4 linked regions of the Macaca fascicularis genome follow. The protein of the gene in region 1 binds, or shares a complex with, the protein of each later gene. Links are inferred from orthologs where the notes say so. Each region holds a gene or a part of one and is shown on either strand. Other genes may lie near its edges.

Region 1 (7,812 bases):
TCTATTCCCTTTCCCCACACTCTGCTGAGCACACACTCTATTCCCTTTCCCCACACTCTGCTGAGCACACACTCTATTCCCTTTCCCCACACTCTGCTCAGCACACACTCTATTCCCTTTCCCCACACTCTGCTCAGCACACACTCTATTCCCTTTCCCCACACTCTGCTGAGCACACACTCTATTCCCTTTCCCCACACTCTGCTGAGCACACACTCTATTCCCTTTCCCCACACTCTGCTGAGCACAGGAGCTGGGGCCTCAGGCGCAGTCCGGGAGGGCACACTGGTGGCACATGAAACGGAATCTGGGGTCTGGGTTTGTGGGCCAAGGTTCATTGCTCACCGTCTGGGGAGAGGTGGGCAGTGGTTGGACCAGGGCTTCTGAACTGTATAGGTGCTTTTTCCTGAAACGAAGCTCCGATTCCGTGGGCCTAGCGTAGGGCACACATTCCACTTTCCTCAAGATCTCTGCGAGCTCCTCTGGGTGCTGCTGCTGGGCCAGGGGCTGCCCTTTGAGGACTGAGGGACTGGAGTGAGTGCCCGCGGTGGGGTAAGAGGAGTAGCTCTGGCAACTTCAGTGGAGAGGAGGTGCCAGAATGGAGTGGGCACCGGCGGGAGCTTGGAAGGGAGGTCTCATTGCCACCATCCCAGAGAGGCATCGGGACGGGTCTGGCACTGCAGCACCTGGGACGAGGTGGTGTCAGAGTCAGCCGCGCACTAATTGCTTATTCAATTCAGGTCACTGAGGGTACAGCGGAGTGGCCTCTGCCAAGTAGCATGCTGTGCCACCCTCCTTAGGGCGGGGTGCCTGCTGGTCTCAGGTCTCCAGACTGGACGGAGAGGGAGTGCTGGTCAGGGCCCCAGGGGTAGCTGTGCCCATTTGTCCTTTGGACATCCCAGCTGCTTTGCTGTTATCGTGGCCGTCGGTCGGTGTGTGACTGGCTGTCCCTGGGGGTGCTGCTGACTCTCCTCTCCAGGTGTCACTGGCCACCTCTCAGGGTGTTTCTAGGTGCCTTTTAAGGCCTTGCTGTCTCTCTAAATAATGCTGTCCAGAACTCTGGTTGTTATTGGAAATGTCACAGTGTCACTGGCTTCTGTCTGGGTGACGCAGGACGTATTTGTCTCAGGGTATCGGCAGCCATCCCTCAGGCTGTCTCTCCAGCTGTCTTCTCAAGCTGTTTCTCAGGTTGCATCATGCTGATGTGACCAATAAGAGAGAGGGCTTGAACCTGGCCTGGGCCCGACTGCTCAGGGAGCCACGCTGAGACACTCTGTCCTCCGGGAATGGTTTCGCCCGATTCTCCCTCTCAGGCTCTTGGGGAAAAGCCCTCATGGGTGCTATCCTCCTGGCAGGAGGTCCCCCGAGGCTCCTGGGCCCAAAATGGAGCGAGACCACCCCAGAGAGTGCCTCTGCTTTCAATTCCTGCTTGTCCCCCCAGAAATCTCCCAGGGGGCTGGGGACGGTGGCTCTCGCCTGTAATCCCAGCACTTTGGGAGGCCAAGGCAGGTGGATTGCCTGAGCTCAGGAGTTCGAGACCAGCCTGGACAACATGGCGAAAACCCATCTCTACCAAAAAATACAAAATATTAGCTGGGCGTGGTGGCGCATGCCTGTGATCCCAGCTACTCAGGAGGCTGAGGCAGGAGAATCACTTGAACCCAGGAAGCAGAGGCTGCAGTGAGCCAAGATCCTGCCACTGCACAACTCCAGACTGGGCGACAGAGTGAGACTCCATCCCTCCCCCACCCAAAAAAAGAAATGTCCCTGGGAAACCAGGAAAAGAGGGATTTCAAAGCCAGGCAGACTCAGGTTCCAGATGCCGGCTGCATGGCGTGGCCAATTATTCAGTCTCTTCAACGGGAAGAACTGGGATGAGAGGAGCAGTCTCCAAGGGCAGCTGTGGGAAAGAAAAGCAGTGGCATCTGCAGAGCTCTTGGCACAATGCTCAGCATACAGCAGGTGCTTAATAGATGACTCCTCCCCACTCCAACCCCAAGGGCCTGGTGCGGCCTGACTCAGGAGCGAGGTGGGGCCTGGCAGGTGGCAGTGAATGGTCTGCCTGCACACTGTGCCCTCCCGCCCAGCCTGGGCCTGTGAACAAGGCCGGGGTGTCATGCCATGCTCGGCTCCACACATGCTGTCATTACCCAGGGGCTTTTCAGCATGGATTTGTGGAAAATTTAATAAAAGGATATTAAATACCAGCTCCAGACAGCCTGTGATCCGTGCATATCTTCCGGAGCCTCCGGATTGGGGCATCTGCCGCCAGGCGCTTAGAGACCCCCCCACTTGCATGGGTGATGGGTCCCCTCTCCTCACTCCCCTGTGTCTCTCTCCTGCCTTTGTTTACACCTCCCTGGATCCCAGTCCTTTGGAGGCTGGAGTTGTTAATGTAATTTCCTGCCATGTTCCAGAAAGCCTCTGCCTGGAAACCAGCTCTGAGAACAGAGCTTCTGTAGGAGCCTCCGGACCTAAGAGGTTCCCGATGAGGATGCCCCTTCAGAAGGGCCTTGGTGGCCGGGCGGAACTGGGCATAGGGTCTTGGCTCCTCCTGGAATGCCTGGTGGATAGGGCTGGACTTGACCTCTGGTTTCGTGTGGGTTCTGTAATTCCAACAGGAAGGCCTGTGGAGTAGCTCCTTGGTGGCTCTGAGAGGATGATGAGGGCCGTTGTGAGCTCCCCACTTCTCGGCGCTTGCATGTCACCCGCTTCTGTGCCTCATGATCATTCAGCCCCACCCCAGAGCCTGGAAACGGGGAGGGAGGGAGGTGCTGCCAGGGACCCCTCCTTTCCCAAAGCCACCTGCTTTTCAACACCTGTCTTTCTTTCCTTCACTCACACAACTGCTTCGGAGTTCGACTGCGTGTCAAGCTCTTGGTTTCTAGGCCCTGCTTCTTGGGACCTATAAAAGTGTGGATGGGGGCTTTGCTCTGGGGCAGGAGTCTGCAGAGAGCTAGGCATGGGGACTGGCCAGTCCCCTATTATGGGCTGGGGACCTGTTTGCAGCCTTTGTACCTTGCCAGTCTGCACGTGCAGGCAAGAGGTGGTTTTGAAGTTGCGCGACCTCCAGTGCGTCAACATAACCTCTGTGCTGTTTTCCTACAAACTAAAGCCCAGAAGCCCTTCCGGCTCCCCCTATGGGGTTGCCCTGATGGTTTCAGACGATAACAGATATGAAAATCCTCTGTAAATGGGAAGGCTTCATCACTCTTGGAACTTAAGATTGCTGTAAAGAGGAGGGCAGTGACCTCCATCAGTATATTAAATTCATTAGGAAATAAACCCGGGAAATGTGTTCCAGTCCTGGGAGAGGATCCTGTTCACTTTGCACAGATCCCCTTGGGCCAGGGATGGGGAAGGCCCTGGAAAGTGAGTTATGGAGCCTAAGGAGACTGTTCTGTGCTTTCGGCTGATTCTGTGGATGCCAGAGCCCAGCAGCTGTCCGGCCCCTCCTCGCTCACAGGAGCAGGCGGCGTTGCAGCAGGAGGGATTCAAGGGCGGCCGAGACGGTAGTGACTCAGTTCAGAAATGGGTGGAGAAGATAAATCCCGGGAGGTTGGTGTCTCTGCAGCTGAGAGGTCCACCTGGTGTTCCGACCGGGTGGCAGCATGGGCAGATGCGACTGTGAGGGCGCACCTGTGAGCCGGCCACACACGCTTATGCGTGCAGAGGGGGCGTCCGTGTGGAGTGGGGAATCCCACGTGATGTGGAGACTCAGACACAACACAGAGCAGTGAACAGAGCATGGGATTCAGGGACAGACAGAGCCTCAAACTGGACAGCATTGCTCTGCAGCGAGGCCTGACCCACAGCAGGTACTCAGGAAGGGGGAGTGGCCCTTGAGATCATGACCTGCTCCGTCCCAGCCACCCCCAGGCAATGTCCTCATAGAGCGGCTCCCATCCAGCAGGCGCAAGGGCATGGCTGTGCAGAAAGCTCACCTCTGCCCCTCTCTCCTGCTCCAGAAAAAAAGCAAGGTGCACTACCATGTCGCAGTCATCATCAACTACCTGGGCCACTGTATCTCCCTGGTGGCCCTCCTGGTGGCCTTTGTCCTCTTCCTGCGGCTCAGGTGAGCAGACCCCAGCACTGCGTCCTCTTGTCCCCCGGCCCTAGAGCAGGAGCAGGGTGGAGAAGTGAGAGGAGCAGCTCGAGGTCGGGGTGGGGGTTGCTGGGAGAGGGTGGTAGGGCCTGGCTTATCTGAGAGTCTCAGGTCTCCGGGAACCTCTGGCAGGGCCGCTTTGCCCCCTCCGCAGTAGCTGCTGGAATGGTGGGGAGGGACAAAGCTTGTTTTATGTCACCCACACCCAGGACGGGCTGCACCCATTGGGGTGACCAGGCAGATGGTGCCCTGGAGGTGGGGGCTCCATGGAGTGGTGACCCATTTCAGGTTCGAAAGTACATGGGCCCCAGCACTACCGCCAAGGATGCAGGTGGCAGAGCCAGGGATGGGGATGGTTGGGATCAGGAGCCGAGCATCAGGGCTGGAGGCTGGGAGCAAGGCTGACCCCTGTGACTGTCCATCCTGGAATGGCAGGGAGTGGAAGGCACCCCCAGGGGAAGCAGGCATCCCCAGGAAGCCAGCTGCCCTGGTCCATGGAGTGCCAGGCAGAGCCTGGGGCTTTTGTCTGGGTGGGTTGCAGGCAGGAAGGGCTCCATGGGGCATTAGGAGAGCCTTGCTGTCACTTCCCTGTGTGACTTGGCCAGTCAGCCCTACCCTGTGCCTCAGTTTCCTCATCTACACATCTGGGTTGGGGTGATGTGGGTGGCCTGCCCCTTATCCTCTCTCTCCTGTCGCTCCCATCATCCACCTGCCCTGCTGCACCAGGAGCATCCGGTGCCTGCGAAACATCATCCACTGGAACCTCATCTCCGCCTTCATCCTGCGCAACGCCACCTGGTTCGTGGTGCAGCTAACCATGAGCCCTGAGGTCCACCAGAGCAACGTGGTGCGTCCTGGCGGGGGAGCGGGGAGCAGGTCAGGCCAAACCCACGTCAGAGAAGGGGCCCAGGTGGGCCTGCCCTGCAGAGGAGGAGCCCACAGAACAGGAGTGGGATCCCAGGGTGTGCCCCGTCCTGCCTGGGGGAGGCCCAGGGCCAGGGTTTGGTGCCACCCCTGCCCCTCATCATCATCTTTGGTTGGGGGTGGGGTGGCAGGTCTGGTGCAGGTTGGTGACCGCCGCCTACAACTACTTCCATGTGACCAACTTCTTCTGGATGTTCGGTGAGGGCTGCTACCTGCACACAGCCATCGTGCTCACCTACTCCACCGACCGGCTGCGCAAGTGGATGTTCATCTGCATCGGCTGGGGTGAGCTGGGCAGCCACCTCCCCAGCCTGGGCAGTGGCAGCCACCGTGCTGCCGTCTCCTCACCCAGACTCAGGCCAGAGGGCTGGGGGGCCTGAGGGATGGAGGTCGGGTTGGGGCAGTGGGGTGTGTGCCATAGCCCTCTGCTCCTCTTGGGGGTGGGGGGCAGCAGGAGCACCTTGAAGGAGGTGTGTGAGTTTGAGATCCACCCTGGGTAACCCTAGACCGCCTGGAGCCTGGGCTGCACTGGGGTCCTCCAGGCCCACATTCCCCAGCCCCCGCTGAGGGCTCTGTGACAGCCCATCTCTCCCCCAGGTGTGCCCTTCCCCATCATTGTGGCCTGGGCCATTGGGAAGCTGTACTACGACAATGAGAAGTAAGTCACCTCCTTTCCCTTCCTGCCCCCAAGGTTTAGGCTCCCAGCCTAGCTTGGTGACACTCCCAAGGGCCTTGGGCCATGCTGGCTTTCCCCTCAGGACCATGGCTTCTGCATCTGTAAAGGGAGGGATCTGGGGGGTTGGACTCATTCAGAGGGTCCCTGCCTGTGCTCTGCCTGGGTGGGACTGGACAAACAGGATCCAGCCTCCTTTATCTGCCTTGAGCTTACACAGGAAGCAGCCTGGAGCCAGACTGCCCAGGTTCAGAATCGTGGCTCCGTCATTAAATAGCTGTGTGACCTTGGACGGATTACTGCAGCGTGCCTCAGTTTCCTCATCTATAAAATGGACATACTTCCTCAAAGGGCTGTTGTGGGGTGATATCAGTCCATCTATATTAAGCATTTAGAATCGGACCTGGCACATAGAGCAAATGCTGTATAAATGTGTTCTCGTAATATTAAGACATCTTAATAGAAGAGTCCGTGAATTTAACAGAAGTGGACCTAGATGATCCCAGAGGCTTCTTCCAGCTCTGAAGTTCTTTGGTTCCTTATGAAACGGACTCAGGTGTTTCCAGTCGTGCCTGGAAACTTGATTTCTGCTGCAGTGGTGCTCAGCCTTGGCTCACATTAGAATCACCTGGGATGCTTCGAAAAGTACCAGTGCCCAGGCTTCACCGCCAGAGAGTCAGGTGTAATTAGTCTGGGGTGTGGCCTGGCACCCAGAATTCTTGAAAACTGCCCAGGTGATTCTAATGTGCAGCTAAGATTGAGAACCACTGAGAGAGGGGGGGGCAGAAAAGGTGGACGTGGATGGCAGGGGAGCCCCAGGACCTTGTTTGCCAAACAGGTGTTCCCAGGAACCTATCTGACTGACTGACCTGGCGTCCAAGTGGCCTCCACCACAGTGACAAGCCCTCTCCTCACCCCACGGAGGGGAGGGGGCCTGCATGGCTTCATTGGGCTGACGAAGGAGCCTGGAAGATTATCTTGCGTGTTTAGGAGGTTGACTCTCTCCTGACTCAGGCTAGCTGAGGCCTTGGGAGGCCGAGGCGGGTGGATCACTTGAGGTCAGGAGTTTGAGACCAGGCTGGCCAACATGGTGAAACCCCATATCTATTAAAAAAAAATACAAAAATTAGCTGGGTGTGGTGGTGCGCACCTGTAGTGCCAGCTACTTGGGAAGGCTGAGGCAAGAGACTCTCTTGAACCCAGGAGGCAGAGGTTGCAGTGAGCCAAGATCGTGCCACTGCTCTCCAGCCTGGGCAACAGAGCAAGACTCCACAAGCCTCAAAAAACAAAGCAAAACAAAAACTGTTTGGGCTAAAGGAGAAAGTGAGTCTGAGCGGCTCTGAAGCCCCACCTGGTGGTGAAAATTCAACACTGCAACAGAGGGGATCTGGGTGTGAGAAAGCAGAAACGAACTTGCAGACCAGAGGCTCAAGGACTGGACCCAGCCCACAGAAGCTGTGTGTGGCCGGCAGGGTGTTTTCTGGAAACTCGATTTTGTAGCCAAGCTTTAAAAAATCCAAAGGTTTCGTATACAAATCTCAATTTCTGGCTTATGAGATCTAGCCACTGGGGGTCTTCTTACCCACGGGGACATAAGGGCTTCCAGTTTGTCTGGTCCCCACCCACTCCCCAGGCCTCCCTGGAGCTTGCTGGAGGGACACTCAGGAAAATGCAAAGCAATTACCCCCTGCAGCAGGTAGAACCTGTGCAGATGTTCCTCTCAAGGTCGTTCGGGCTGCGATTGGACAGGTTCAGGCTGAGATTGAGAACTGCTGGGTGCCCACTGGGTGACACGTGTGGTACCACTCCCACCAGCAGCCCCCCAGAGGACATGCTGGGCCTCAGCCACAGCCAGGGGACCGTGAGGAGGAGCCAAGGATGCAGCTTGCGTATTGAGCTCACGCCCATTCCCGGCCACGCAGTCTTTCCCACTGTCTGCCTCCTGCCCCGATGCTTGCTTCCAACTTTGCATCTCATCACAGAGGATGCTGTCCATTCTGCAGATGGGACAACTGAGGCTTGGCAGTGGGATCAAGTGACTTGACCTTCTGCCAGGGTTGGAATTGGGACATCTACCTCCTGGCTTCCAGCCCCAGTCCTATCCTGGCCA
Region 2 (8,023 bases), on another chromosome or scaffold:
TTACCGACACAATCTAGTTACATTCTTTTTCAAAAAGCCCAATTTCACTTGATGTTTCCACCATTCCTTCATAGAAAACTACATACTTCAGTTTTATTCTACTGTGGCTGATATGATTTCATGACCCTTTTTAACTTTCTATCAGGAAATGATGTGGCAGCACAAAGGATTATCCCAAAGCCATAAAGACTTAGGATAATTTTATTGCTCTTGAAACATCATCCCCAAACATATGTTTAGGGTAAAATCTGGTAAAGTGCAGACCAATAACTTGTTTTGCTCTCAAGACTATTTTGAGTGGCAGTAAAACAATGTACTTAACCGAAGTTCTGCTTTGCTTGTGCCAGGTATTATCCATTCATATTGCAGCTTCATAAAATCATCCAGTGCTTCTGAGCTGAATGCATGTGGCTACCTCATTGCTTTGAAATCAGTGGCATTCTAATCTGGTGGGATAGTTTTACCAGTGATGTCATCGGAACATGTTTGCTTATTTATCCATAGTTCTCCTAAGAAGAATGGCGTTTGTCATGGTACCTTGAAATGTAAAGAGTTTGAGCTCATAAAATCAAATTGCATTTCAGCAAATATTGGATTTGATTTAATATGGATATGGTTATTAGAATTTATTACCTAGAGAAAAAAATCCCATCATGATTTACCCAAAATTAAGCCTGTAGTTTTGCAAAACGTATAGTAAGATAATATATATGTATGTACATGGTAGAAACTTTTTCAGCAGTGGAGGGATTATATTATGTCCCACAATGTTATGTGGCATAGCAGTGTCATTTAAATTTGGAATATTTTTAAAATTCTGCAAGCTTTTCTAAACCCAATTCCTAGCAGTTTCAATGAGACTCTCATCTGAATAAATCATTTACAAGTGGGCTTTAAAAAAAAAAAAAACTGGTATAGTCTGAACTCCTTTTTCCCAAGAACTTCTCTTCACTGCATGCATTACTGTTCCTTCTTTTTGTATCATAAGGGTGAATTATTTTCATGACTCTTGGCTGTAGCCAAAATAATCTGAGCTTGCTTTCCATTTCTAATGATTATGTCCCATATAATAATATTGTTATTATAATAATAATTGTTATTATTATACTTTCTCCTCAGTAGAAAAGTGACTGGACCAATCCAAAATTAACAAATCTCTTTTTTTCTCTGATTCCCATTTTCTTCCGTTGCAGATTGGATTTGAGGCTCCTCCCCTCCAGGGACAGGCTGCAGCTCCAGCGAGTGGCAGTGGAGCTGATTCTGAGCCAGCTCGCCATATCTTCTCCTTTTCCTGGTTGAACTCCCTAAATGAATGATATTCATTCCAACTGCTGCCCCTCTGTCTGCCTGGCTGAGATGCATGTGGGCAGCAGGAAGCCCAAGTGAAATTAATATTATGCAAATGATGAAAGGGACCTCTGAACAGGATTTCTGCAAAAATAACCCAAAACTGTAATTCCAGATGACTTATCTAACATATTCGGGGGAGAGAATATTTTGAGAAAATAGTTGCAGAAAGCACTGGAAATAATAAACTTGATCTTATGCAAATCTTTTATTGTGTGGGAAACATTGTGAAGGGTGTGTAAGTGTGGTATATGTGTATGTCAGTCACAAGTGGCAAATGGTGAAAAAAGTGGTCACTATGCTCTTGTCTCTCATAGGCGCTGGCTTTTTGTTATTATATTATAGTAGTTCTCATTTCCTTTACTCTTTAACAGTGCAGGTGGTCAGTGAAAATCAGTGTCAACTCAGAAGTGACTGATTTATCAATACATGGACAAAAAGTAAATCATTGACCAAAGCTATGAAATGTTTCACAAAGTTTTCCTCTTTTGCGTAACAGATATCACTGGATGTACATTCAGAAATGTTCTTTGAATCTGGTGACACTTTCATGGTCCAGAAAGCTGAAGGCCTGGGCATCTCTTATGACATTTTTCTAATATTAGTTTTAGATTTTCATATATTAGGCACTTTAATTGAAAAAGATCTTCCAGCAAGAGCTGTCTACTTTCTCTTGTATTCACTGTGGCACCAATCTGGTAAATTGTAGAACAATTGCATGTATTTAAATATATATACAAACATATCACACACTAAACATATATATATATATATTTAAATCATGCTTTGTTAATATTTGTCCCACCATAATGCCTCCTTCAGAACGTAAGTGTAACTTTACTCTATATGAACTCTTAAATAAATGATGTTTTTAAAAGCTTTGTCTTATAATGATTTATTCAATGTTATGTATTATCTTATTCATTTATTAGTTAAGTGTATTTCAAAGGTCCCAGGATAAGATGCATCTTCATACAAATTAATTTTGAAGTATTAAATATTTGATTGAATTGTTTAAAGCTATAACTAAACTACCAAAGGCAAATGCACTGTAAAACTAATTAAATGTGCTGTTCAGTTTTAGAAATGAATAAAGGTAGTTCATGTTCCTAAGAATAAAAGTGGGTAGGGTTGGCCTAGGCATAAATGTGGAGGATATTTGTGTAATTATTAAAGTCAAAATGTTCTTCATAAGAAAATTTTTCCTATGTGACATTTTATAATGACTAAATTTAGTCATCTTAAGTGGAGATGCTATTAAGTTTCTCTTATTAGAAGTAGTAATTGGAAAATAGCTTACAAAAAACTGTTTCATGGTACCAAAGTAGTAGTTTGACAGAGTGAGTCTTTCTCATAGAAAAAGAATGCAGCATTTTGGTCATATAGTTTGGAGGAATTTCTACCTTGACACTTCCCTTTTCCTTTCATCTTTTCCCCACTCTCTCCAATTATTTCACATCTTTTAATTGATCAGGGCTAAATGTTATTTCCATTATAAAATGATCTTCCCTTTTAGAATTACCATGATTTAGAGCTGCTGGGAGCAACTTCCTGAATTATTAACTCAACCTCAGAGAAGTAGTCCATGGCACAGAGATGAGCCCAACGTGATTGCAGGGTCTGTGTAAGCCACTGATATATGTTTGCATTTTTAGTGGAAAAGTACAATGCAGGAAGTTTTGTTTTTCTTTTCTGGTGCTGAAGACAATTTGGAGGAAGCTAAGAGATGAGAGTATTTCCAGTGTATGAGCACTGAAGAGAAAAAATAAAGTCATGATTACCTTTGCAGCTTTTATTAAAAATATAAATATTCAACATTCTCTTACACAACCAAACTGACCAAGGACTGGAAAGATGTTTTATTACTGAAACGTTTACAAGAAAAAGTTGTTTCAAAGAGCTTACAGATTTAGTCTTACCCACCCAAGAGAATGGCATTCTCTTTGGTTCAAACCACAACAAAAACAATTGGGTGACTTCTGTCTGCTTTTTCAAACAAAACGTTTTCTCACTGGTCTACATTCTCTTTAAAACACCACTAAAAACACCTGGAAACGGAAACTAAACGTAGACAAAACGAATAACATTGTGTTGTTACTGCACATGAATACACTTTGTGCATGCTAAGTAAGGGGTATAGGCTCTCTCCCTCTCTCCCTCTATGTTTCAAGCTATATAAAAATAAACAAATGGCGTAAGAGCAGCGCTATGGTACAGAATACTGTATTTTTTTTTTTGTGCTAAATGCAGAATCTTTTTGGCCAAACGCACCGTTTCATTTCCCAATAATCTCCATGAGTTTCCTGTTGCTGTGAGCTTGCTGCGCTAACTGCTCGGCCCTGGCCATTTCCAAGACTTCCCGGAGGAGGTGGAAGGTGAGATCCAGGGAGATGGGAGGCTCCTCGGACCGCCTCTCCCTCTCCGTTGCCTCCTGGTGGCCGCCGAGGGCGTTCTCGGCGCCGCGCTCAGCGAGAGCCGCGGGGCTGTCGAGCGAGCGCCGAGGCAGCAGCAGCTGCTGCAGCAACACGCGGAAAAAGTTGGCGGCCGCCTGCTCCGGCGAAGGGCGGCTGCCGCTGCCGCCGGCGAGGAGCGAGGAGGCGGGCGAAAGGGGAGCGGCAGGGCTCTTGTTGAGGTTCCCCAAGCGGAGGAAGTACTCCTCTCCCATGCGGAGCAGGACCGGCCGAGCCTGCGGCTGCTGGGGCTGCTCGGACTGCGGCGGCGGCTGGAAGAAATCCAAGGGCTGAGGGTACTGCGGCGCCTGCCGGGCTCCCGGGACCGGCCCGCGGCTCAGGAGCGCCCTGCATGGCGGGCAGGGCAGGAGAGCCACCAGCAGGACGCCCGCGGACACGAGCAGCGGCAGCCGCATGTTAGGGGCACTCGCTGCGGCACAGAGGTGGGCGGAGGGCGGAATGAGAGAGGGGAAGAGAGAAAGAAAGAGTTGGTGAGAGTTCGCTCAACTGGGAGGTGCACACGAGGTCCTCCTACCGGACTACCTTAGACGTGCTGGCTTCAGTGGTTAGGGTGGGCGCTGTCCGCGGTGCTGAAACACCTGGGGAGCGGGGAAGGGGGTGCCTGCTGGGCTCCGCACCTAAGCTCAAGCGCTCGCCGGCCAGGAGTGACCCTTCTTTCTAGACTCTGAAGGGACGGTCCCTGCGTCCTCTTCCTAATGATCCTCAAAACTAATTTTCCCGAGCCTAGGGAAGAGCCACAGATTTAAGATTCTACCCGCGCTGACTACCTCCCTTTCGGATATTTCAGCATTTTCTTCCAAATTGATTAACTCCTGCCTCCTGGTCCTCCCTCTCCACCCCTGCCCTTGCTGCTTTCTCTCGGGGGTTAGGATAGAAGGGGGTGGGGGAGCTCCTTTACACAGCCAGCTAGGAGCAACTGGCAGCACGGGTAAAGAAGAGCAGCCGTCTAAGTTTGCTTTTGCCACATCCCAGCTACTATTGTAATCTTAAGGAACAGTCCGCGAACACACACACGCACGCACGCGCGCATACACACACACACACACGCACACACACATGCATACACACGTACACAGGCAGTGGCAGCCGGCCCTGCGGCGCACATCGCGGCAGCTCAGGCAACGCAAAGTTGGTGGTGTGTTCCGTCCAGGCGCTCCCTACCTTCCCAGGCGCTTTGCAGGTGAGCCGGGTGCTGCCGCCTCTCTGCAGAGGGACGTCTCCGGGGCTTTCTCTGGAGGTTGTCTTCCTTTCTCTTTTCTGTTCCCACTCTCTTTTTCTTTCTCTCCTCTCTTTCCCCTCAGTCTCTCAATGGACTTGGTCTCCGAGTTTCTCCACTCCAGAGCCTGGAGTGGGATTTTATAGTGTCGACCCTCTTCAAAAACCACGCAGCATTTGCCTAATAAGCTGACGCTCTCTTGACAGCTCGATTGCGTGCTGCCTCTGCTCCTGCATAAATCATAGGGCCCTGCCAAGGAACGAGGGGCAGAATTTTGCTATCTCAACACTGAATCTCACATCCAATTATATCAACAGATATTTATCGCCTCTTGGTGACGTCAACTAGCCCTAAAATGGAAGGGCTTCTTATGACTTGTCCATTGACAAAAATTCTTGAATGAGATTTCCCAAGTGTGAAAACATATTGACCTCTTACTATGAAAGGCCATATTAGGGGTGTGCAAAGAGACAGCGAATAGGAGGAAGAAGGGGAAGTGGGAAGGAAGGGAGGTGTCCCAGTGCAGACCTGCCAGGAAAGCAGCAGCCAGTTAGAGGGAGTGGATTTGGATGCCCCTTCTCCTAACCTCCCTGACCAGGTGTCTCTGACAACACCTCAGTATCTGGAAATATCCCTTTGCTAGGGACAGAGTCCCACCATCTTTCTGCCTGGAAAAGAATGAAGCATCAGGAGAAGGGTGTGCAGGAACATCTAGCTTTTAAACGTCTATCTGCATTTTCCTCCCAAGAGCAAGCACATAAAGGAGTTATGAGCCTGAGGAAGCAAGGCCAATAAGTCTCTTAAAATTCAGTTGAAGTTTTTAAAATGATGACAAGAGCTACTCCTATGGTGAAGGAGCACAAACCAGGGTTAGTAAGGGGTGTGACAAAGATTTTAGGTTCTCTCAGAAACTCTCTGCTCCTCCTTTGTCTCTCTTCTCACAATCTAAAATTAATTGTGGACTCCCTTTTCTATTCCCAAATTAAAGAGAGAGAAGGCCAGTGAGAGATGCATGAGTTAAACAAGATTTACTTATTCTACTTAATGCAAACTCAGTGAGAGGTGTCCATTCTAACGTCCTAATCTATGTTGAAAAGGCTTAAACTGCTTGACCACAGGGCTAAATTCATCAGTTACATGTTTTCATTGATCAATATTGAGTCTGTAAAAAGTAATCTCATTCATTTCGCCTCCAAATACTATCAACATCCATAATAGTATCCATATCTGGGCCACCCAGGGTGGTTCTTTTTAATCATTTCTTTTTCCGAATGCAAATGTTCTTCATGTGAGCCTGTTAAATAAATAAATGCTCTCTGACGTATCGCCGAATGGAATGGAATGCTAAGCCTGTAAAACTATACTCAATTTTTGAATTAATTGACACTATCATATAGGTGGGAGGCAGTTACCTTTAATTCTGCAATTCAAAATGCAATTCCAAGTTCTTGTGCCTGTGATTCAATTCAGCTTCCAGATAACCATCAAAGTTGTTTATCAGAAACTTCCTGCTCCTCATTTCTGATTACTTCTGCTGCTTCCTTTGTAGCTAATGTGACAAATGATGCAATGCATGTTTCAACTTCCACTTTGGGTCTATACCAATCCACAACTGCTCTTAGGAACAAAGGGAAGGCAGGGAGAGAAATGCTGACAGTTTGCAGAGAAGCCAGCCCATAGTTGGATCACTGCACCATGTTATGTACTTTTGACACAAGAGAACAGAGAAAGAAATGTGCCTACTTGGAAAGATGTGAGTTGTTAATAGATCATGATTATGGAAAATGGTTGAGTTTCTGGGAGCAAGCTGTGTTTTATATTGGTAGGAAAACACACAGAACCTCAGATTTTGTTATTGTGGGCTTTTTTGTTGTTGTTGTTAAGCTGGAATGGGTTCAACATTTTTGCTTACTTTCCTTTATGACCTGTTTTCTGACCCCGTTAGCAGATTTCGGCTTGAATGTCAAGCTGGAGGTGAAACATTGACTTGGAATAGGCAGTTTCAGTGCAGTAAATGGATACAGAAGAGAAACTAGGAAAGGGATGTGGTTATGAGTTTAGCTGGGGAGGTCTGGGAGGTTCTTCCAGAGAAGACACAAGTTTTGGGCTCTGACTAACCCCATTCCCATACCAATCTCTCTCCCATTGGGCTATCTGGGGGATGTTGTTTTAGTATAGCTCCCTCCTCACTGTTGAGTCCTTGCTGTGAGGTTCTCTTGGGGTATGTCATTAATAGAGCCAAAGTGGCTCCAACTAGGGAGTAAGGAAAAAAATGTTCGTGAAGCCCAGAGGAGGAGAAGCTATGCACAGCAGCCTCTACATGCCACAATTTATCTGTATTTGTCTGTTCTCACACTGCTAATAAAGACATACCAGAGACTGGGTAATTTATAAAGGAAAGTGGTTTAATTGACTCACATTATCACATGGTAGGGGAGGCCTCACAATCAAGGCAAAAGGCAATGGAGAAGCAAAGGCACATCTTACATGGTGGCAGGCAAGAGAGAGCATGTGGAAGAGAACTCCCTTTTCTAAAACCATCAGATCTGATGAGACTTATTTACTATCACAAGAACAGCATGGGAAAGACCCACCCTTATGATTCAGTTACCTTCCACCAGGTCCCTCCCACAACACGTGGGAATTATGGGGGCTACAATTCAAGATGAGATTTGGGTGGGGACACAACCTAACCGTATCATTATCCAAAATGTATATCTCATTAAATCACCCAGTGTTCACATTAGAAATGACTTAAAGAGATCACTCGGTTTAAATGAGAACCAGAGAATTAAGTGACTTACCTGAAGTCACTCAGCTAGTTAGTGGTAAGGTGAGAATTAGGACTCAGTTCTTTTGATTACCAGCCCATATTATTTGCATAATGTAATGATAAGCTTTGGACTTTCTTTTCCAGCAGAGCACACAAATTTAGGTGAAAAGATGAATTTTAAAACATTTTAGAGCTAGAATCTCACTTTCTTGCCCA
Region 3 (7,162 bases), on another chromosome or scaffold:
TGCCCACTGACCTTCTTCATCTCCCTAGGGAGGATCCTGCTTCTACCACCCTTGTCTCCATCCCACCTGGGGCTCCGCCTTTGATGGCGTATCTGGAGGGACAGTGGCTGGGGTGCTGCAGCCTAGGTTAGACAGAGAGGTAGACCAGAAAGCCAAGTAGAAGCCTGGCCAGACACTCATGATAAAGACAGTTGCTGAACTGCACCCAAAAAAATAGTGGAACTGAAGATGTGTGGTTCAAATGCTTGGAGGTGAGGGATTGTGGGAACAGGGGAAAATAAGGGGGAACATGACCAAAATGTACATGAATAACATAGCTAAAATGAATACAGACTGGCTGGGCATGGTGGCTCACACCTGCAATTCTAGCACTTTGGGAGGCTGAGGCGAGAGGTTTGCTAGGGTCTAGGAGTTTGACACCAGCCTAGGCAATATAGTGAGACCTCATCTCTACAGAAAATACAAAAAATTAGCCAGGCACATGGTAACATATGCCTGTAGTCCCAGCTACTTGGGAGGCTGAGGTGGGAGGATCACTTGAGCCCGAGAGATGGAGGTTGCTGTGAGCCAAGATTGTGCCACTGCATTTCAGACCCTGGTGACAGAGTGAGACCCTGTCTCAAAAAAAAAAAAAAAAAAAAAGGCTGGGCGCAGTGGCTCACGCCTGTAATCCCAACACTTTGGGAGGCTGGGGCGGGCAGATCACAAGGTCAGGAATTCGAGACCAGCCTGACCAATATGGTGAAACCCTGTCTCTACTAAAAATACAAAAATTAGCTGGGCGTGGTAGCAGGTGCCTGTAGTCCCAGCTACTCGGGAGGCTGAGGCAGGAGAATTGCTTGAACCTGGGAGGCAGAGGTTGCAGTGAGCCAAGATCGCACCACCACACTCCAGCCTGGGCAACAGAGTGAGACTCCATTTCCAAAAAAAAAAAACAGAAAACAAAAAAGGAATACAGGCCGGGCGCGGTGGCTCAAGCCTGTAATCCCAGCACTTTGGGAGGCCGAGGCGGGCAGATCACAAGGTCAGGAGATCGAGACCACAGTGAAACCCCATCTCTACTAAAAATACAAAAAATTAGCCGGGCGCGGTGGCGGGCGCCTGTAGTCCTAGCTACTCAGGAGGCTGAGGCAGGAGAATGGCGTGAACCCAGGAGGCGGAGCTTGCAGTGAGCCGAGATCGCGCCACTGCACTCCAGCCTGGGCAACAGCGTGAGACTCCGTCTCAAAAAAAAAAAAAAAAAAAAAAGGAATACAGACTTATGAACCAAATCTTAAACATTAGGGTCCTTTGCAACACTCTTTGAAACCAGAGCAAGGTTAATTTAAAACAAAAAGATGCTACTTTGTATGGTAGTCCGTACATTTTGGAAGATGAAATCTCAGCTGGTACAGGACAGATAGGGGCCCTTTCTGTGATTAACAGAGCTACATGTGGCAAGAGAGCCGCTAAATATTTAGCCTTTGAGGAAGGAAACAGAGCTCTGGGATGGCACTAGAATTTGAGCCAGTTGTCCTTTAGTCCAAGCCACACAGGCCCTTCACAGGGCACTGAAGGGGCTGGGTGCGGTGGCTCACACCTGTAATCCCAGCACTTTGGGAGGCCGAGGTGGGTAGATCACTTGAGGTCAGGAGTTTGAGACCAGCCTGGCCAGCATGGTGAAACCCTGTCTCTACTAAAAATACAAAAATTAGCCAGGTGTGGTGGAGCACACCTGTAGTCCCAGCTACTTGGGAGGCTGAGGTAGGAGAATTGATTGAACCCGGGAGGCAGTGAGCCAAGATCGCACTACTGCACTCCAGCCTGGGCGACAGAGGAGACTCCATCTCAAAAAAAAAAAAAGGCGCTGAAGGAAAGAGACCTAAACCTGCCAATCTTCTGACATGATCCCTCCTTTTCCATTTCACACTCTCATCTCCAGCCCTTGCTCACTGCTTAGCTTTCCTCCTCTTCACCGTGTTATTCTTGTTCCTTAGGTTGGCCGTTGTCCAATGTGTTGCTGTTATCTGGAACTCCTACCTGTCCTGGAAGGCACATCGGCTCTAAGCCGGCCTCACTTCATCGTTTCCACCTTGCAGTGATGCAGCTTGGCCCTGGAACGGTCAGACAACTTCCTAAAGTGGGCACACTAGTTTCCACAGGGTTGGGTTGCCAGTCAGAACTTAAGAGGACTAGCACCCTGCAATGCTCCCTTCACTCTAAAATGTGCACTGACTGCTTTAGAGCCCTTGATAATAGTCTTATTCCCACCACATACTAGGCACTCCATAAATATCTGTTGAACTTTCATGACCTTATCAACTTTACACACATATCCCAGCAAATGCCACTCATCCCCACTCTTCATAGACACATTTGTTACTCTAACCCTGCCTAGCCTTGTAGCTCCAGCTCTTCAGAGACCCCCGGAACCCTTTATATGATGCCTCAGTAAATATGTTATTAAATGTGTCATCCGGAATCTGCAGTGGTAATGGGGAGTCATTTCTAGAGCTGGAAAGAAGCCAAGAGACCACCAAGCCCAATCTTTTTTTTTTTTTTTTTTTTTGAGATGGAGTCTCGCTCTGTCTCCCAGGCTGGAGTGCAATGGCGCTATCTCGGCTTACTGCAGCTTCCGCCTCCTGGGTTCAGGTGATTCTTCTGAGGAGCTGGGACTATAGGTGCGCACCGCCATGCCCAGCTAATTTTTGTATTTTTAGTAGAGATGGGGTTTTGCCATATTGGCCAGGCTGATCTCGATCTACTGACCTCGTGATCTACCTGCCTCGGCCTCCCAAAGTGTTGGGATTACAGGCGTGAGCCACCACGCCTGGCCAAGCCCAGTCTTCTACAACTGAGAACCCTGAGGTTGGTAGAAGGGAGGTGACCTGCCCACACCAGGAGTTAGCAGAAACTTGAACCCATATTTCTTTACTACTCATGGGCAGAGTAATACTGCTGCTATGATTCCCAGGAGAGAAACGGAACTTTGCTAAACTACCACTTTGGACAAACTCAAAAGCAGATGGGCCATATTTGTGGTCTGAACGCACTTGGAGGCCAGAGACCCTCTGTTACATGGTGCCTGTGTGAGACAGCCCTAGAATTTGGATCCTGGGGCTGGAAAAAGATGAGAATGCTGGGAGACTTTGGTTGTGGAAGACTGCCTCTCAATGGGACCCACTGTGTTGGCTGAGTGCCAGCGGTGGACTCCTGATACCTGCATTTGCAGAACTGATAGCTGCCACGAGGCAGTGGTTTGCAGCAGTACAGCGTTCTCACATCATCTCTAGCCACTTCTAGAGGCGCAGGACGAGGTCAGCACCATGGACAGCCCCCACGGTCCCGCCTCCCTTTCGTGTGTCAGAACACGCGACCCGGACTAGTCTGGTCTGGTGACGGCCCTAGTCACTGCTGGCGGTTCTAAGCAGGGCGAGGGACTCCCGTGGGTCCCAGAGCAGTCCTTTCGCCCCAGCCAGCTTCTCGCTCTCCTGCGTCCAGTGCTGCTTCCAGCGCTAGCCCCAGGGAGACGAAGGCTCATGTCGGGAGGTGTGCCCTTCCGGGGCCCGCCAGCCGCCAGACTCGAAGCTGTGGCTGTCATTGCTTCTACAATCAGTGCATGTTCTTCGCTGACGTCAGTCGGAGCTGTCCTGTCGCTATATAAGGCTGGCGGCAGTCCCGGGACAGACCCTGTGTTCCCCAAGGCGCCTTCGGCCCGCCCCGAGGGACAGAGACTGGAGCTCAATCTTGGACCGTACAAACATTCGCCGACAACCTGTGAGTGGCTCAGAGCGTCCACCCAGCCTCCCCCAGCACCAGGACTCCACTCAGCTCAGCCACCGCGCTCCTTCGGGAGGGAAGCTGGGTGGAAGGGATGGAACAGCACTGGCGCAGTAGCCGGGGCTGGAGGGCAGGCTGCGGGCATTGGGCGGCTACCGGAAGGGTCGCCGGGCGAGCGCAGGGAGGGGAGCGGCCTCCTGCAGCTGCCCCAGGCGCACCTCACCCTGCGCTGCCCCTGTGTGTCCAGGGCCGGCGGCACCATGAGGCAGGCGGGGCGCGCGGCGCTGCTGGCCGCGCTGCTGCTCCTGCTACAGCTGTGCCCTGGGAACAGCCAGAGGAGCCCCGAGGCGGCCGGGGTCCAGGACCCGAGTCTGCGCTGGAGCCCCGGGGCACGGAACCAGGGCGGCGGGGCCCGCGCGCTCCTCTTGCTGCTGGCAGAGCGCTTCTCGCGCCGCGCAGGGTCCAGCCGATGGGAACCCGGGACGGCAGGCGAGCGGCCGCGGCGGGACAACCCTCCTCTGTCCATTGACCTCACCTTTCACCTGCTGCGGACCCTGCTGGAGCTGGCGCGGACGCAGAGCCAGCGGGAGCGCGCCGAGCAGAACCGCATCATATTCGACTCGGTGGGCAAGTGACGGCCCGGTTTGTGGCCGCGAAAACTTTGACCCCTTTCCCCCACCCCAGGGTTGGGATGCGGGGCAGAGCCACCAGGGCACTCTCTGCTTGACTATTTTTTAATAAAAGTACTGAAGACCCGTTGGCTTCTGTCGTGGGGGCAGGGCAGTCACAGCAGCGTGGGAGCCCGTGGGAAGGTGGGGCCCCCGGGCCAGCGGGAGGGGAACAAAATGCTGTGGGGGGCTCCAGGAGAGCGGCTTTCAGCCAGGTCAGCCAGGTGCCTTTGAACTCCAGGGGTCCCCAAATCCCTAGGACCTCAGAGGTCCCAGCACCACCGCCCCGCCCTCGACCCTTTTCCCAGGGCGCTGGGCTCACCATTTCGCTCCTGGCATCACAGAGGTGCCCAATAGGGGTTCATTTGGCTTCCGCCCCCCGGATAGTCTCAGGTTCTGGGAAGGGCAGGATGGTGGGCGGGTCGCCTCCGAAGCCGAGGCTGCGGCATTGGGCAGCGAAAGGAGATACGGGTCGGGGACGCTCGAGTTCTTTATTGAGATCCTCCTGGGGCGGGCGCCGATTTGGGCGATGCCGCGGTCTCTGCGCAGATCCTCCCCGACCCTAGCGCGGGCGCTCGAGCAGGGTCGGGTTGGCGCAGGCCTGTACCCGGGAAAGAAGGCTCGGTGGGCTGGTGCTGCGAAGGCGCCAGGCAGCTCGAGCCCCGCTCACTCCGTCCTCCGCCACGTGGGTTTCTCCTCTACTCAGCCTGCCTTGCCTGCCTCCCAGCACCCCGAGGAACGGCGGGTGAGGAGGAAAGTGTATTTTTCCGCCCTTTGTGGCTCCGGGGTTGGGTGGCACCGACGAATGGGGGCTTCATGCGACCCGCAGGGAGGACAATCACTGGGGGAGGGGACGCGAGCACACCAGCCAGGCCCCACCCCAAGCCCCTCGGGCCGCTCTCACCTTAAGGCCCATCCGGCCGCTCTTCCTCCGGCCCCGCGCTGCCCTCGTCTCCGTCCAGGGCCACCTCCTCATCTTCTTCCTCCCCGGAAGCGCCTGGGCCCAAGGAAGGCCTGGTGAGGTGGAGTCCCTGCCTTTCCGGCCATCGTGCCCTCCTCACCTCCCACACAGAGGGTCCGAACCCCAGTCCCAGCGGCCCTCGGCCACCTCCCTCACCCGGCTGGAAGTCGATGGTCCGCAGCATTTCGGCCACGTGTTCCACGCTCACGGTGAATTGCTCCATGCTCTCATAGCCTGGCTCCGGCCGCCCTGCCAGCTCCACCTTCGACATGGCCCCGACCCTGCGGTGGCCACACGGACTCAGCTGGCAATGCCCCAGCACCCTCAAGCCCCGCCCCCAGCCAGTGGAGCAGCCCAGCCCCCTCCTTTCCCTTCCCGCTGTGCCTACTCACTTATTGATCAGCTCCTTGGCCTGCTGCAGGGAAGAAAAGGAGGGTGAGAGTAAGCACCGGGCCAACCCGGGCAAAGTCCCATTTCTGAGTCTCACCACAGTCCTGTGGGGTAGGTGGGAAGGCACATCCCAATCGTTAAGTAGAAAATGAACTCAGAGGGGGTGACTTGCCCACGGTCGTAGTGGCAAACAGGTGCAAGAGACAAGACTTGAACCTGGGTCTCCAGGTACCAAGGCCCCGACTCTAGCCACTGTGCGGCACTGCTACCCTCCCCTAGGGCCCACCTGGAGGTAGAGCGCCATCTGTGGCTCTTCCATGGACTGAATGGCGGACTCCACCAGCTTAGAGGAGGCCTCCAGGTGGTCGCCATACTGACGGATGAGGCCGCGGACGCGCTGCAGCTTCTCCTCTTGCTCCCGGGCCAGCGCCTGCAGCAGCTCGCCCTTGCGCTCCTCCAGCACTGCGCACAGGCTCTCAAACCTCTGGTTTAACAACTGCTTCTGCCTCCGGCTATTGTCCTAAAAGATGGGGAGCAAGGATGAGGGAAGGCGTGGCTGAGACCCGGTGGCTGGGAAAGCACAGGATACTCACAGAGAACCAACACAGAAAGTGACCCACCCATAGTGACACTGTGCGTTAGTGGCTGAGCCAGAATCCAGCCCAGATCTTTTCCATAATAAAAACACAATACTTTAAAGTAGCTTCACTGAGTGTTGTCTATATCCCTAGCCCTGGTTTTTATTTGCATTATTCCATATAATTCTCAAAAAGAACCCATGAGGTAGCTGGTGTACCATTTATCATCATCACTGTTTTATGAGGTTAAACAAAACCAAAGCACAGAGAAGTTAAATAATTGGATTAAAGTTTTGCGGAAAAGCTGGAATGAGCACCCAGCAGCCTGGCAAAAGCACCTCCCACCACTCCCAGGACCCCAGAAACTTTTGGACCAGTTTGGCCAGAGGTCAGAGAGGAGCAGTTCTCTTGGGAGCCCGGGGTCCGCAGGCCAGCCAGTTGCTGTTCCCCCTGCCCTCCAGCCCAGGCTCACCTCAATGGTCTGGCACACCTCCTCCATCTGCGTGATGACTGCTTGCACACGGTCATTGCCTGCCACTAGCATCGCGATGCCATCGCTGAGCTCACTCTGATACACACACAGGTTAGCACTTAGAGCTGGGACCTCACCTAGAGCTATACCCCTCACCCCAGCCAGGGTTGCCTAGGAGAGGGCTGGCCCCTCCACCCCACCCCCCATGAGGGCATCTACAGCAATCTAGAAGGTTTGAACCATCAAAAGGTACAAAAGCACATTCTAGGGATTCTGGAAGGAGGTGGAGAGAAGCCCTCCACCACTAAGTGGGGAAGGAACAGACAGTCTCCAA
Region 4 (4,232 bases), on another chromosome or scaffold:
GATGCGTTAGACTAGACGGTATCGCACCGTGCAGTGGTTCGCCCGCCTGCAGCTCCCATACAGCAGCCCGTGCTGTGCGCCCTGCTTGCTGCAGCCCGCCCTGTGTAACGCTCATCCAGCCTCTCCTCCCGCAGGACTCTGCAGGTCAGGTGACCCCCTGCCTCCTGCCCAGCTGCTCTGTGCCTAGACGTGGTTCACCAATCTGTCTTACTGGTGAGACCGACCTGATGCGCACCTGCCGGGTTTTACGTGACCCCCTAACAGCAGCTTTTCTCCCGGGCTCAAATCCCTCTGCAGACCCCAGACCAGAGCATAGCATGTGCACACACCAAGGTCACCAGGTGGTTTGGGTATTTACCTTTGGCTAGCTCTGAGCCCACCGCAGCATGGTAGCGGGAGCGCAGCTGCGCGGGCAACCGCCGGGTTTGTGGCCGGTTGGCGGGCTCAGTGCCGCCTCAGTAGGCTCTAGCAGTGGAAAACTAAAGCGACTACCCTAAGATACCCATAGCGAGAGGAGAGGGGCTGGAAGGGTGCTGGAGACAGGCTGTAGTGGGGCTAAAGGAGCAGACTGACCGGTGCTGCGGCCGGCACCCGAAGCAGCGAGCAGCGCACCTCAGCTGCGGTTGCCGCGCGGCATGGTGTTTATCTGTGGGTTCAGTGCCCACAGCGTTGTCCACTCTCGAAATCACCCTAAACCGGCCATAAACGCCAACCAAAATCCCCTTTAACCCTTCCCTAGAACCGCAGGACCTGCGAAACTCTGCGGCCGCTTTGTGGGGTCCCCCTCTGCGCAGCACGCCCCCCACCCCTCCATCGGTGCCACCGCAGCTACTGCCTAGGGGGCTTTGCTCTTGGTGGTACGCACCCGAGACCTTCTTATTCCCCTGCGTCACCATCCACATAAACAAGGGAGCACCCTGCTTGCGCTGCGTGGGCCACTGCGGAGACCCCTAGAGTGTGATGAGGGTGGGGGCTGTTAAAGTGCTTTACCGGAGCCAACCTCAGCAAGCAACAAACAAAAGCAGTAAAAAGTACACCCAAGGCATTTAAAAAACAAATTGTGTGCTCGCATACTCGGCATCCCCTCTCCCTCGTCTCTCTCTGCTTCTCTGGTGGGCTCACGACCACCTGTCGCATCCCCACGCATGCCTGTGCCCCTTCTCAGGCACCAAAAGCCTTGCGCTCTGGACTAGGGGCTTGAGATCCGGAGCTGCCTGGAGGCTGGGGGCTATGACTCAGTGTTTCAGGGGTATCCTGGGGTGATGAAACCCTTCTTCAGTCCCCCCTCCCCCGAGGAGTCGGTTGGGTTGGGGAGGGAGGATTTCAGCTCCTGTACTCCAGCGTCCCGAGGCCCACGTCTTGCGTCACGTGTCCCGCAACGCAGGAGAGCTTTCTCTGGCCAGGGGAGAAGCGAGGAGAAAGATTCCAAATCAGTCAGGGAGAGGAGTGGAAGGAGCCAAAACGTCCCTGCGAGGCCTGCGCTCGTCAGCCCCCTTACCCAAAGTCCCGGGCCGCGGCGCGAGGAGCAGGATTCTGGAGCTGGAGCCAGCTCGGCACTGGAACCGGCGTCCTCTGGTGGCAGCGAGAGAGCGCTACTGGCGATTTTCGGACCGAATCGGCACGCTCGTCAGATCCAAGCAGGCGGGACTGGCCTGGAGGAGAAAGAAAGAGAGAGGAGGGCATAAGGACAGACCAAGGAAGAGGGGCTGGGGGGCATACTGAGGGGATAAAAAGTGGCCAGAAAGGAGCCAAGACTCCACCAGCAACAATTGAGTTGCTTCAGCCTCAGTCTAGGGTTCCAGGCCTTGAAGCCCCCCAACCTCACAAGGGTTGGAAAGTGAGGCTGGTGAACTTTCCAGCTGGTACTTTGATTTAAAAATAACAATAATAATTTTTTCACCCTAGTTCGGTTGGGTGCTCCGTCTTACGGAGCCCCAAACTTATTTTGAGAGGCCGCCACCCTGTTATGGGCGTGCGCAACTGCCTCCACGGCAATAATATGTCAGGACAACGCGATATCCCCCCTGAAATCGGGGAACAGCCCGATCAACCATCTTTGGAGGCCCCAGGGGCAGCTGCCCCCGGTGCTGGGCCTAGCCCAGCCGAAGAGATGGAGACCGAACCGCCTCACAACGAGCCCATCCCCATCAAGAATGACAGCGAGGCCTGTGGACCCCCAGAGGTCTCCAGGCCCAACTTTCAGGTCCTCAACCCGGCATTCAGGGAAGCTGGAGCCCATGGAAGCTACAGCCCACCTCCTGAGGAAGCAATGCCCTTCGAGGTCGAACAGCCCAGCTTGGGAGGCTTCTGGCCTACACTGGAGCAGCCTGGATCCCCCAGTGGGGCCCATGCAGGCCTTGAGGCCTTCGGCCCAGCATTCGTGGAACCTGGAGCCTTCAGTGGTGCCAGACCAGGCCTGGGAGGATACAGCCCTCCACCAGAAGAAGCTATGCCCTTTGAGTTTGACCAGCCTGCCAAGACAGGCTGCAGTCAACCTCTCTTACAGGTCCCAGACCTTGCTCCAGGAGGCCCAGGTGCTGCAGGGGTCCCCGGAGCTCCTCCCGAGGAGCCCCAAGCCCTCAGGCCTCCAAAGACTGGCTCCAGAGGAGGCTACAGCCCTCCCCCTGAGGAGACTATGCCATTTGAGCTTGATGGAGAAGGATCTGGGGACGACAGCCCACCCCCGGGGCTTTCCCGAGTTATCGCACAAGTTGACCGCGGTGGCCAGTTCGCGGCAGTCGCGGCCTCGAGTGCGGTCCGCCTCACTCCCGCCGCGAACGCGCCTCCCCTCTGGGTCCCAGGCGCCATCGGCAGCCCATCCCGAGAGGCTGTCAGACCTCCTCCTAACTTCACGGGCAGCGGCCCCCCGTTGGAGATCTCCGGACCCCCGCTCGAGATTGGCAGCGCCCCCGCTGGGGTCGACGACGCTCCCGTCAACATGGACAGCCCCCCAATCGCGCTTGACGGCCCGCCCATCGAGGTCTCCGGAGCCCCAGATAAGAGAGAGCGAGCAGAGAGACCCCCAGTTGAGGAGGAAGCAGCAGAGATGGAAGGAAGCACAGCCGCTGATGCCGCGGAGGGAGGAAAAGTCCCCTCTCCGGGGTACGGATCCCCTGCCGCCGGGGCAGCTTCAACGGATACCGCCACCGGGGCAGCCCGTGCAGCCCCAGCGGATCCCGACTCCGGGGCAGCCCCAGAAGATCCCGACTCCGGGGCAGCCCCTGCCGCCCCGGCCGATCCCGACTCCGGGGCGGCCCCTGACGCCCCGGCCGATCCCGACTCCGGGGCGGCCCCTGACGCCCCGGCCGATCCCGACTCCGGGGCGGCCCCTGACGCCCCGGCCGATCCCGACTCCGGGGCGGCCCCTGACGCCCCAGCGGTTCCAGATGCCGGGGCAGCCCCTGACGCCCCAGCCGATCCAGATGCCGGGGCAGCCCCTGAGGTTCCCGCGGCCCCTGCGGCTGCTGAGACCCGGGCAGCCCATGTCGCCCCAGCTGCGCCTGACGCCGGGGCTCCCACTGCCCCAGCCGCTTCTGCCACCCGGGCAGCCCAAGCCGCCCGGGCGGCCTCGGCAGCCCCTGCCTCCGGGGCCAGACGCAAGCTCCATCACCTTAGACCCCCCAGCCCCGAGATCCAGGCTGCCGATCCGCCTACTCCGCGGCCTGCTCGCGCGTCTGCCTGGCGGGGCAAGTCCGAGCGCAGCTGCGGCCGCCGCGTGTACTACGATGAAGGGGCGGCCAGCAGCGACGATGACTCCAGCGGAGACGAGTCCGACGATGGGACCTTCGGATGCATCCGCTGGTTTCAGCATCGGCGAAATCGCCGCCGCCGAAAGCCCCAGCGCAACTTACTCCGCAACTTCCTCATGCAAGCCTTCGGGGGCTGCTTCGGTCGATCTGAGAGTCCCCAGCCCAAAGCCTCGCACTCCTCCAAGGTCAAGAAGGTACCCCTGGTGGAGAAGCGCAGACAGATGCGCAAAGAAGCCCTGGAGAAGCGGGCCCAGAAGCGCGCAGAGAAGAAACGCAGCAAGCTCATCGACAAACAACTCCAGGACGAAAAGATGGGCTACATGTGTACGCACCGCCTGCTGCTTCTAGGTAATGCGGCGGACTCTGCCTGCGGGCAGCAGGGCCGCCGGGGAACTGGGTAGGGGGTGGCAGGGCTGCCTGCTGGGGCTCGGGGCTCGACAGTGGGAGGAGGGGATCCAGCCAAAGGCGGGAAGAGCTTGCTAG

The links.
Region 2: the proteins of CRHR1 (region 1) and CRH are in contact, whole or in part, in a cryo-EM structure (PDB 6P9X), measured with the Homo sapiens proteins. The link is inferred for Macaca fascicularis from reciprocal best matches to the Homo sapiens genes CRHR1 and CRH. Residues at the interface, in NP_004373.2 of Homo sapiens: Lys113, Tyr116, His117, Ala119, Val120, Asn123, Trp169, Val172, Gln173, Met176, Ser177, Pro178, His181, Thr192, Tyr195, Asn196, His199, Phe203, Phe260, Gly261, Lys262, Tyr267, Tyr272, Gln273, Met276, Ile277, Leu280, Tyr327, Phe330, Phe331; in NP_000747.1 of Homo sapiens: Glu156, Pro157, Pro158, Ile159, Ser160, Leu161, Asp162, Leu163, Thr164, Phe165, His166, Leu167, Leu168, Arg169, Glu170, Leu172, Met174, Arg176.
Region 3: the proteins of CRHR1 (region 1) and UCN are in contact, whole or in part, in a cryo-EM structure (PDB 6PB0), measured with the Homo sapiens proteins. The link is inferred for Macaca fascicularis from reciprocal best matches to the Homo sapiens genes CRHR1 and UCN. Residues at the interface, in NP_004373.2 of Homo sapiens: Leu106, Asn107, Glu109, Lys113, His117, Val120, Asn123, Trp169, Val172, Gln173, Ser177, Pro178, His181, Gln182, Thr192, Tyr195, Asn196, His199, Phe203, Phe260, Gly261, Lys262, Pro264, Tyr270, Tyr272, Gln273, Met276, Ile277, Tyr327, Phe330; in NP_003344.1 of Homo sapiens: Asn84, Pro85, Ser86, Leu87, Ser88, Ile89, Asp90, Leu91, Thr92, Phe93, His94, Leu95, Leu96, Arg97, Leu99, Leu100, Glu101, Leu102, Ala103, Arg104, Thr105, Gln106, Gln108, Arg109.
Region 4: the proteins of CRHR1 (region 1) and GNAS are in contact, whole or in part, in a cryo-EM structure (PDB 6P9X), measured with the Homo sapiens proteins. The link is inferred for Macaca fascicularis from reciprocal best matches to the Homo sapiens genes CRHR1 and GNAS. Residues at the interface, in NP_004373.2 of Homo sapiens: Arg151, His155, Tyr212, Leu213, Ala216, Ile217, Leu219, Thr220, Tyr221, Asp224, Arg227, Ile290, Ile293, Leu294, Lys297, Leu298, Ala300, Ser301, Lys311, Lys314, Ala315, Val318, Leu319, Leu322, Phe362, Tyr363, Asn367, Ser368, Glu369; in NP_000507.1 of Homo sapiens: Gln35, Arg38, Ala39, His41, Val217, Phe219, Phe376, Cys379, Arg380, Asp381, Ile383, Gln384, Arg385, His387, Leu388, Gln390, Tyr391, Glu392, Leu393, Leu394.

Annotation. Positions count from the first base shown.
Region 1 is NC_088390.1:67,413,175-67,420,986, forward strand, and holds part of CRHR1 (corticotropin-releasing factor receptor 1), read left to right. Parts: intron 1-3,968; coding exon 3,969-4,075; intron 4,076-4,314; coding exon 4,315-4,401; intron 4,402-4,831; coding exon 4,832-4,952; intron 4,953-5,160; coding exon 5,161-5,314; intron 5,315-5,626; coding exon 5,627-5,687; intron 5,688-7,812.
Region 2 is NC_088382.1:76,162,170-76,170,192, forward strand, and holds CRH (corticoliberin), read right to left. Parts: upstream 5,152-8,023; 5' UTR 4,980-5,151; intron 4,228-4,979; 5' UTR 4,214-4,227; coding exon 3,623-4,213; 3' UTR 3,125-3,622; downstream 1-3,124. Other genes in the region: TRIM55 (tripartite motif-containing protein 55), read left to right, coding at 1,194-1,316. UniProt on the Homo sapiens protein: Hormone regulating the release of corticotropin from pituitary gland. Induces NLRP6 in intestinal epithelial cells, hence may influence gut microbiota profile.
Region 3 is NC_088387.1:94,908,295-94,915,456, forward strand, and holds UCN (urocortin), read left to right. Parts: upstream 1-3,664; 5' UTR 3,665-3,756; exon of another isoform or gene 3,757-4,006; 5' UTR 4,007-4,019; coding exon 4,020-4,394; 3' UTR 4,395-4,514; downstream 4,515-7,162. Other genes in the region: mitochondrial inner membrane protein Mpv17, read left to right, coding at 1,977-2,046; TRIM54 (tripartite motif-containing protein 54), read right to left, coding at 5,333-5,424, 5,545-5,669, 5,781-5,803, 6,065-6,298, 6,829-6,924. UniProt on the Homo sapiens protein: Acts in vitro to stimulate the secretion of adrenocorticotropic hormone (ACTH). Binds with high affinity to CRF receptor types 1, 2-alpha, and 2-beta. Plays a role in the establishment of normal hearing thresholds.
Region 4 is NC_088384.1:114,906,099-114,910,330, forward strand, and holds the start of GNAS (guanine nucleotide-binding protein G(s) subunit alpha isoforms XLas), read left to right. Parts: upstream 1-1,432; 5' UTR 1,433-1,966; coding exon 1,967-4,097; intron 4,098-4,232. UniProt on the Homo sapiens protein: Guanine nucleotide-binding proteins (G proteins) function as transducers in numerous signaling pathways controlled by G protein-coupled receptors (GPCRs).